Linked DNA regions of Tamandua tetradactyla. The protein of the gene in region 1 binds, or shares a complex with, the protein of each later gene. Links are inferred from orthologs where the notes say so. Each region holds a gene or a part of one and is shown on either strand. Other genes may lie near its edges.

Region 1 (3,902 bases):
GATTTTCGACAGGGTACCAAGTCCATTCAACGGGGAAAGAATAATCTCTTCTGCAAATGGTGCTGGGGCAACTGGAACTCCACCTCTCACCATATACAAAAATTAATTCAAAATGGATCAGACCTAAATAGAAGAGTGAGCACTATAAAACTCTTAGAAGAAAACCGGGGAATATCTCCAGGGCCTTGTAGGAGGAAACGGATTTTTAGATTTTACACCAAAAGCACAAGTAACAACAACAACAAAATAGATAACATGGATTTCATGAAAATTAAAAACTTTTGTGCACGAAAGGATGAACTTGAAGAATCCTGAGATACAGCTGTCAGGGTCACAGCTCTGCGCTTACAATGTAGAAGAGCCACTATTACCACCTTTAAAAAGCTTTTCACAATTTTTTTTTTCCTTTGGGTATTCAAAATTGCACCACGGGTTTACTCCTTCTGCACATTTCCTTCTATGCAGATGTATTTCATGCAACTGTGGTCACAGAACCTATACTTAAAAAAATGTTGTTAGTTTCATGATGTAGGAGAGGGTGTTTCTACAGAACCCTTGAAGTTCCTTTCAAATGACACAGACGCTAAATCTCATCAAAGTCTACTCTAATGTTAGAAAACTTGAAAACGCATAAAAGTGTAAAAAATATACAAAAATCACTTGGTGTGCACCTCCAGTGCTCCTCCTTCCGCTTGCATAACGGTCATTTGTGATGGGTGGAGGTCAGCCCCTGTTGTAGGGGACATCAGACTTCCTAAATAGCTGGACAGCGAGCGGCCACAAGTGGCGTTTCCAAGCCCAGCGTGTCGCCCCTCCGGGCACGTGGGCAGGTCCGGAGGAGCCCAAGGCTCCCATCAGTGCCAGCAACGCGGCGGCGCGAGGGGGCTGCAGGGCGCGGCCTCCACCTGCGGCTTTCCCGGCGCGGAGGTCGGGACGGACGCCGAGCCCTGCCTCAGCCTCCCACGCAGCGTTGAAAGCCCTCGAGGGTCTAAGGCCCTGACCTGAGAACACTGCCCTGGAGTCTCTGCCCGCGAGGCCAGACGCGCTCAGGCCGCGAGTCACACTCAGGTGGCGCGTGGGGGCGCCGCTCGCGCCCACCCGGGTCCCGCGTCCTCGAGCCCCCGCGCCCAACCCGGTCCCGCGTCCCCGAGCCCCGGCGCCCACCCCCGTCCCGGCGCCTCCCGCGCCCACAACGGCGCCCTCGATCCCCCGCGCCCTCCCGGTCCCTGCGCTCGAGGTCTATTTCCGACCCGGCGCAGTGTGGCCCACCCAAGTCCCCGCGTCCTCGGTCCCGCGCCCACCTCTGCCCCACGTTCTCAGCCCCGGGCCCACCCGGCGCCCGCGGCCGCAGCCTCGGCCTGTTTACGTCCCGGCGCAGCCTAGCCCGTCCCTGGGCCCGCCCCCACCTTCTGCCCATTGGCGGAGGGGCCGCGCCGTCCGGCGGCGATTGGCCGGCGGTCGGCGGCGGCGCGGGGCGAGCGGGATAGGCTGCGCGCGCGGTGGGGAGGGGCGGCCGGCGATGGCGGCGGCGGCGGCTGCGGGCCGCCTGGGCTGGCTGCTGGCCGCGCTCTGCCTGGGCCCCGCCGCCGGGGAGGAGGCGCCGGGCCCGCGGGTGCTGAGCTTTTGCCTGGAGGAGGACGGAGCCGAGGGCGCGGGGCCGGCACGGGGGCCGCCGGAGGCCACCTTCCGCCTGCGCCTCCGGGGCTCGGGCTTCGCCAACAGCTCCTGGCGCTGGGTGGCCCCTGCGGGCGCGGGCTGCGCGGACGGCGCCGCGGCCCCCTTGGCCGGAGCGGGCGGCTGGCGGGCGCTGCTGTGCCTGCGCGCCGGGGCCGGGCGCCCGCAGTGGGCGCCGCTGGCCGCGCGCGGGGGTCCGGGCGGCGCGGCGGCCGAGGAGGCGGCGCCGGCCTGGGCGCTAGGCCTGGGGGCGGCCGGGCTGCTGGCGCTGGCGGCGCTGGCGCGGGGCCTGCAGCTAAGCGCGCTGGCGCTGGCGCCGGCCGAGGTGCAGGTGCTGCGCGAGAGCGGCTCTGAGGCCGAGCGGGCGGCGGCGCGGCGCCTGGAGCCCGCGCGGCGCTGGGCCGGCTGCGCCCTGGGCGCGCTGCTGCTGCTGGCCAGCCTGGCGCAGGCCGCGCTCGCGGTGCTGCTGTACCGCGCGGCGGGGCAGCGCTCGGTGCCCGCTGTGCTGGGCAGCGCGGGGCTCGTGTTCCTGCTGGCCGAGGTGCTGCCGGCCGCCGTGAGCGGGCGCTGGACGCTGGCGCTGGCCCCGCTCGCGCTGGGCCTCAGCCGCGTGGCCGTCCTGCTCACCCTGCCCGTGGCGCTGCCCGTGGGCCAGCTGCTGGAGCGGGCGGCGCGGCCCGGGCGGCTGCGGGAGCGCGTGCTGGAGCTGGCGCGGGGCGGCGGCGACCCCTGCGGCGAGCTGGGCCGGGGCGCGCTACGCTTCCGGACGGTGGAGGACGTGCTCACGCCACTCGAGGACTGCTTTATGCTGGACGCCAGCGCCGTGCTGGACTTCGGCGTCATGGCCAGCATCATGCAGAGCGGCCACACGCGCATCCCCGTGTACGAGGAGGAGCGCTCCAACATCGTGGACATGCTCTACCTCAAGGACCTGGCCTTCGTGGACCCCGAAGACCGCACGCCGCTCAGCACCATCACCCGCTTCTACAACCACCCCCTCCACTTCGTGTTCAACGACACCAAGCTGGATGCCGTCCTGGAGGAGTTCAAGCGAGGTAGGGGCCGCGGCGGCGGGGCTCGGGTGCGCGCCGAAAGGACTCCACCCCGGGAGGGCACCGCGCTGCGCGCTCCCTGGGCCCTTTGCAGGTTGGTTTTGGGGCCCCTTGGCCTGCTGGGGACAACCGCACCCCCTCCGGGTTAGCCTCCGGGCCCAGATGTGTCCATCCGTCTCCCCACATCATCCCCTCCGGGTCACTTCTGCGTGCCCGGTCTCCGGGTACTCCGGGATGGAAACCAAAAAGGACCTATTGAAGAATGGTCTCCCCATGAGCCTGGGGGACAGAGTTAGCCCCACCGTGCTGTCTCCGGGGCACTGCTCAGGTCACTGCGGCTCTTCCAAGTGCAGTGAAGAGACTTACTTTAAATACTGTTTTTTTTTTCAGAAGATTTTGGGGGGGGGGACTTATACTCTGATTTCTCCAGAGGCGCCTGTCACTGGACAGACTTAATGTCCCTCCCTTGACTTTTTTTTTCAGCCTCTGCTTTTCTCGGGGTCAGGTCTTTCTAGCTTCCCCTTAATTCTGCATCTTTGTGCCCCTTTCCCGTGCGGGTGACGGGGAGTGCTGTGGGCTCCTCTGCCGCCCTCCCCACCGTCAGGTCCCGCTGTCAGGACCCTGGGCCGGGCCAGGCCAGTGTGGCACGGGTGTCTGAGCGCAGTGGTGGGTGCCCCCACTGCCGCAGCCTGGTTGGGCAGGAGGCCGGCTGCGCAGGGGTTCGGCAGAAACTGCCCATGCCAGCCCCAGGCCTGGGGAGCCCTGACCGGCCTGTCCCGGGGACCCTCCTGGCTGCCTGGTGGCGGGGAGGAGGAGCAGCAGGTGCGAGGAGGGCCGCCTCGGCGGTGCAGGCTGTGACCGTGGGGTGGCCACGGGGTGGCGGCGGTGCCGGCGGAGTCGCAGCCGGTACGTCCCATCGGGCCGGAGGCAGCCCTGCGGCCCTCATCTGTCAGCGAGCGTGGCTGGTGCAGGTCAGCCGAGAGGTGCCGCCAAACCTGGAGGCGCGGGAGCCTTTTCTTCCAGTCAGGCCTCCAGGCGTCCTCTTTTTGGGGGACAGTGCGGAGCCCTTGGTCGCGTTTTGAGGTGTGGTGAGAAGGTGCCGCTGGCACAGCTCCGAGGCTTCCTTGGGCGGCCGTGGGGCGTCTGCGCGGTGGGGGGCGGGGGGGTGTCTGCACT
Region 2 (3,902 bases), on another chromosome or scaffold:
ATACCCTCCTCCTTGGCCACCTGCTGGTGGTGAACATCCTGGGTTCTGTGCTGTAGCTTGATGTGGCTGAGTCATAAGACCTTTCTTTTTACTGCTGATCCCTAACGGAAGCCTCCTGGTCAGGAGCAATGCCCCAAGTCTACCTTGTGGGAAAGGCCTAATGATGACTCTCCTCCTAGGGCTGGATGTACATTTATGTGGTGGTGAGGTGGCAAAGACATTAGCCCTAGGGGCAGGAGCCACTTCCAGAATTCACCCCATCTAAGGCCAACCCTCACCCCACCCCCACCTCCCAATCACCCCTGGAGAAGGCTTTCTACTTCCTGCCAAACCAGCCTCCTGTGCTTCTTTCTGACTGCCATCTGGCAGTGGCCCAGTCTCCCAACTCACCAGTGACGTTTTCCAACTAAAACGCAAGTCCGCGGGGTCTGGCAAAGAATTTCTGGCCCACTTCCAAATACAAGAGGTCAAAGCCTTGGGCCAGAGTCTGTAGTCTCTAGAATAATTCCCTGTGTTAAAAGGGACATTAGTTTAGAAACCTTGAAATTGAGGGTCTCCTCTTATCAGGCATTTTTCATACATTATAATACTGACACGTGAAAAGAGCCCCATAAGGTAGCTGGTTATATTTATCCCATTTAATTGTTACGAATACGCAGAAAGAGTAAATGGCTTGTTCAAGAACCCACATTAGGGAAGTTCGAATTTCGGTAAGTCAGGGACCGTTCTTAGGTCTGATTTGCGCGCGCGCGCGCGTGTGTGTGGCGGGGTGAGGTAGGGGCACAGAAATATCCTTCGCAAAGACATGCAAGCCATCTGTTTGGGGCCTCGAAAAGGGCAGCCTAAAACTGAGCTGCTCTGGTTCGCTCTTCTGAGTTGGAAATCCCTGAGCAAAGGGCTCGGTCGCCATTTAGTTCCAATAGCATCTGGTCCTAGGACAAAGCGGTGAGAAAAAGTCCTTCACCTTCGTGGGTCACACTGCGGTCACAGCCCTTGCCCCTACTCAGGTGCGGATGGGCGGAGCGCAGTGTGGGCGAGTGACTCAGACCACATTCTGTTCCCCCCTCCCGGGTCATATGGACGCGCCTTCCGCAGTCAGGAGTGTAGAGCGGAACGAACCACGAGGAGGAGCAGGGGAGGCGCCGAGGGCAGTGGGTCAGCGCGAGCCGGTGCGTCAGCCAGTCAGCAGGCGCTGAGGGCGGGCCGACGGGTGCGCGCGCCGCGCCCCGCAGCGCCCCCTGAGGGGCGGCGGCGGGAGCTGGTTCCGGCTGCGCGCGCAGCGGTGGTGGCGACGGCGCAATCCGCTGGTCTGTAACCGTCGTCTCTCCGGTAGCGGCTGGAGCGGTAGCGGCGGCCGGGCAAGGCACAAGGCGACGCCATAGGACAGCGGCGGCAGCGAGGGCAGAGGCGGCAGCAGGAGACGCAGCGGTAGCCGCAGCAGCAGCAGCAAGACGGACTCGTGGACACGCGCCGCCGCCGCCGCCGCCGGGCCGGGCCGGGTGTCGCGCGCCGAGGCTGGGGGGGAGTCGTCGCCGCCACCGCTACCGCCGCCGCCGCCGCCGCCGCCGCCGAGGTGACTGAGGAGAGAGGCGCCTCCTCGCTCCCGCCGCCGCCAGACTTCAATGCCCAGTTCCCAGCTCGCCGGCGTGAGTGCTCCCCTCACGGGCGGCCCCCGGGCGGGCTCCCGGGCCTCGGGGAAGGGGGGGGCGGGAGGCGCCGCAGCCATTAGTGCAGGCCTGAGACACGTCCCCGGAAGGAGGGCCGGGTCGGGGGTGGGGGTAGCGCGACCGAGAAGCGTGGAGAACGAGGTGGGTAAGTGAGTGAGAGTGTGTTTGTGGGTGTTTGTGAGTGTGTGGAAGAATATTGTGTATGTGGGAAGTGTGAGGAGAGGGAGTGTGGAAGGGAGTGTGAGTGGCGGGGGAAGAATGAGTGTGTGAGTGGGGGCAGAAAGTGTGGATGGGGAGAATGTGAGTATCTCTGGAGGGTGTGGGGGGAAACAGTGACGGGAAAGAATGTGAGAGTAGGGGAGAGTGAGTGAGTGTAGGGAGAGTAGCTGGGAGAAAATGTGGATGGAGAGACTGGGGGAGAGTAAGTGAAGAGGTGAATGCGAGCAGGCGTGTGGGAGAAGAGTGTGTGTGTGAGAATATGAATGTGGAGACAGAGTGAGTGTATGAAAGGTGTGAGAAGGTCTGGGGAGGTGGGTGGCAGATGAGGGAGCGTGTAAAAATGTGCCTGCTTTTGCCCAGAGTAAGGCAGACATCCTGGAGGACCCTTCTCTTTGGTCTTTGTGCTTGGTATAGTGAATTCTGGTGTTCTGGGTTAGGGACGCCTTTTCAGGAGCATCCCTTCCCTGGATCTTTGGGTAGACGGAAAGGATATAGGAGTCGGTTCCCTTGACACTATAATTTGGGATTTTTTTTAGAAAGGGTGTCCTTTTTTCTTTTCCAGTTTTTACCCCCAATGTTTTACCTCCTCTCCTTTTGTCACCGTGAAAGTGGCTTAAGTTGCCAAGTTTATCATAAGGTTTCTGTGGTAGTCTAGGGCTCTGAGAGCTACAGGCAAGAGACTAGGGTCCTTCTATCGGCAGGACCCTAGTGTCTTGCCTGTAGAGTATTCAAAAGCATAGACTCTACGGTGTAAGTACTGCTAGTTCTTTAGGGGGAAAATATTTCATTGTTACATAAATTGAAATAATATATTTAGGTGTGGCTCCTTCTGGAGGAAAGCTCATAAGAAATAATAATAATGATGATGAAACCATAACATGGTGCTGATGAGCCATAGGATAGTTGATTACTTCCTGGTGTTTGTGAAGAAACATATAAAATGACCTGCAGTCCTAGGGTCCTTGTATGCATTTTGCAAATGCTTGTTTGATACCGAGTCACCAAACCTTAACCACAACCAGATTAAGATATGGTAGCTGTTTGGTGCCATGCAATGTATTACATAGTGGTTTCAGACAAGAGGTAAGTGAAGTTATGCACTGTTAAATATGAAAAAAAAATAGGGACACAGAATGAGTGACACATTATTAGGGCTTCAGAATCACTTGTCAGTATGCTTTTGTATTAGTGAAGATGGTGAGAAATGGTTTGCCAGTATTCTGACCCTGACATTTAAAAAATGTTTCATATTGAAGACTGAATGGCCCAGTGATTGTCAGGGACTTTTTGCAAAATCCTGTGGTGTAGAAGTAAGGGTTCTTGATGAAGAGTATCTTGATAGGCATTTTGCACTTTAATGGTGGAAAATCTCATAGAAGTTTTTTGAGAGATCTTTATAAGGGTGTAGGCTTCCATCTAGGCAGTCTTTCAATATTATGATTACCCGGGTAGGGTGGTCCTTTTAGATATTAGACTTATAGAATTACAGGCAAAAGCATTTATGTAATGTAATTAGAAGCCAAAAATTATATTTTTCTTAGTCTGATTTCCTTTGTCATGTATGACATTGATCCAGAGGGAAGTGTCCTTTTTCTCAATCTCTAGCTGCTTTCTGCTTTTAGAAATAGTAAATATTACTATTCAGCAGGAAAGGGATTAAATAGTGCCCTACTATCATACCAGGTGCTTTTTATAGTCCCTCATTTACAATTATGGCAAAGTTGGTAGATATTCTCAATTTGCATCTATTCAGATTTAGAGTGGCTTCTACTTTCCTGGCACTAGGGATACAGTGATGAGCCTTCATGGATTTACGGTGGAGTGATGAGATGAAGAGATACGCTCAAAGGGGTTAGGTAATTTTTTCAAGGTCACACAGTTAATAACAACTGGAGCTGGATTGAAAACTCAGATTGGTCTCACTTTACCTTGGTTTTGCCACTAGTCCATTACTACCCTCTCAGTAGCTTGTCTCACTTTGAGGTTTCTCATATACACAGTGCTTTATGATTTGGC

The links.
Region 2: the proteins of CNNM3 (region 1) and PTP4A2 are in contact, whole or in part, in a crystal structure (PDB 5K25), measured with the Homo sapiens proteins. The link is inferred for Tamandua tetradactyla from reciprocal best matches to the Homo sapiens genes CNNM3 and PTP4A2. Residues at the interface, in NP_060093.3 of Homo sapiens: Leu390, His391, Phe392, Val393, Phe394, Asp396, Thr397, Glu405, Ala414, Gln417, Val419, Glu424, Gly425, Asp426, Pro427, Phe428, Tyr429; in NP_001356788.1 of Homo sapiens: Met1, Asn2, Arg3, Pro4, Asp69, Gly70, Cys101, Ala103, Leu105, Gly106, Arg107, Arg134, Arg135, Gly136, Ala137, Phe138, Asn139, Lys141, Gln142.

The regions. Positions count from the first base shown.
Region 1 is NC_135343.1:2,804,954-2,808,855, forward strand, and holds the start of CNNM3 (metal transporter CNNM3), read left to right. Parts: upstream 1-1,519; coding exon 1,520-2,729; intron 2,730-3,902. UniProt on the Homo sapiens protein: Probable metal transporter.
Region 2 is NC_135328.1:193,881,529-193,885,430, forward strand, and holds the start of PTP4A2 (protein tyrosine phosphatase type IVA 2), read left to right. Parts: upstream 1-1,253; 5' UTR 1,254-1,646; intron 1,647-2,022; exon of another isoform or gene 2,023-3,902.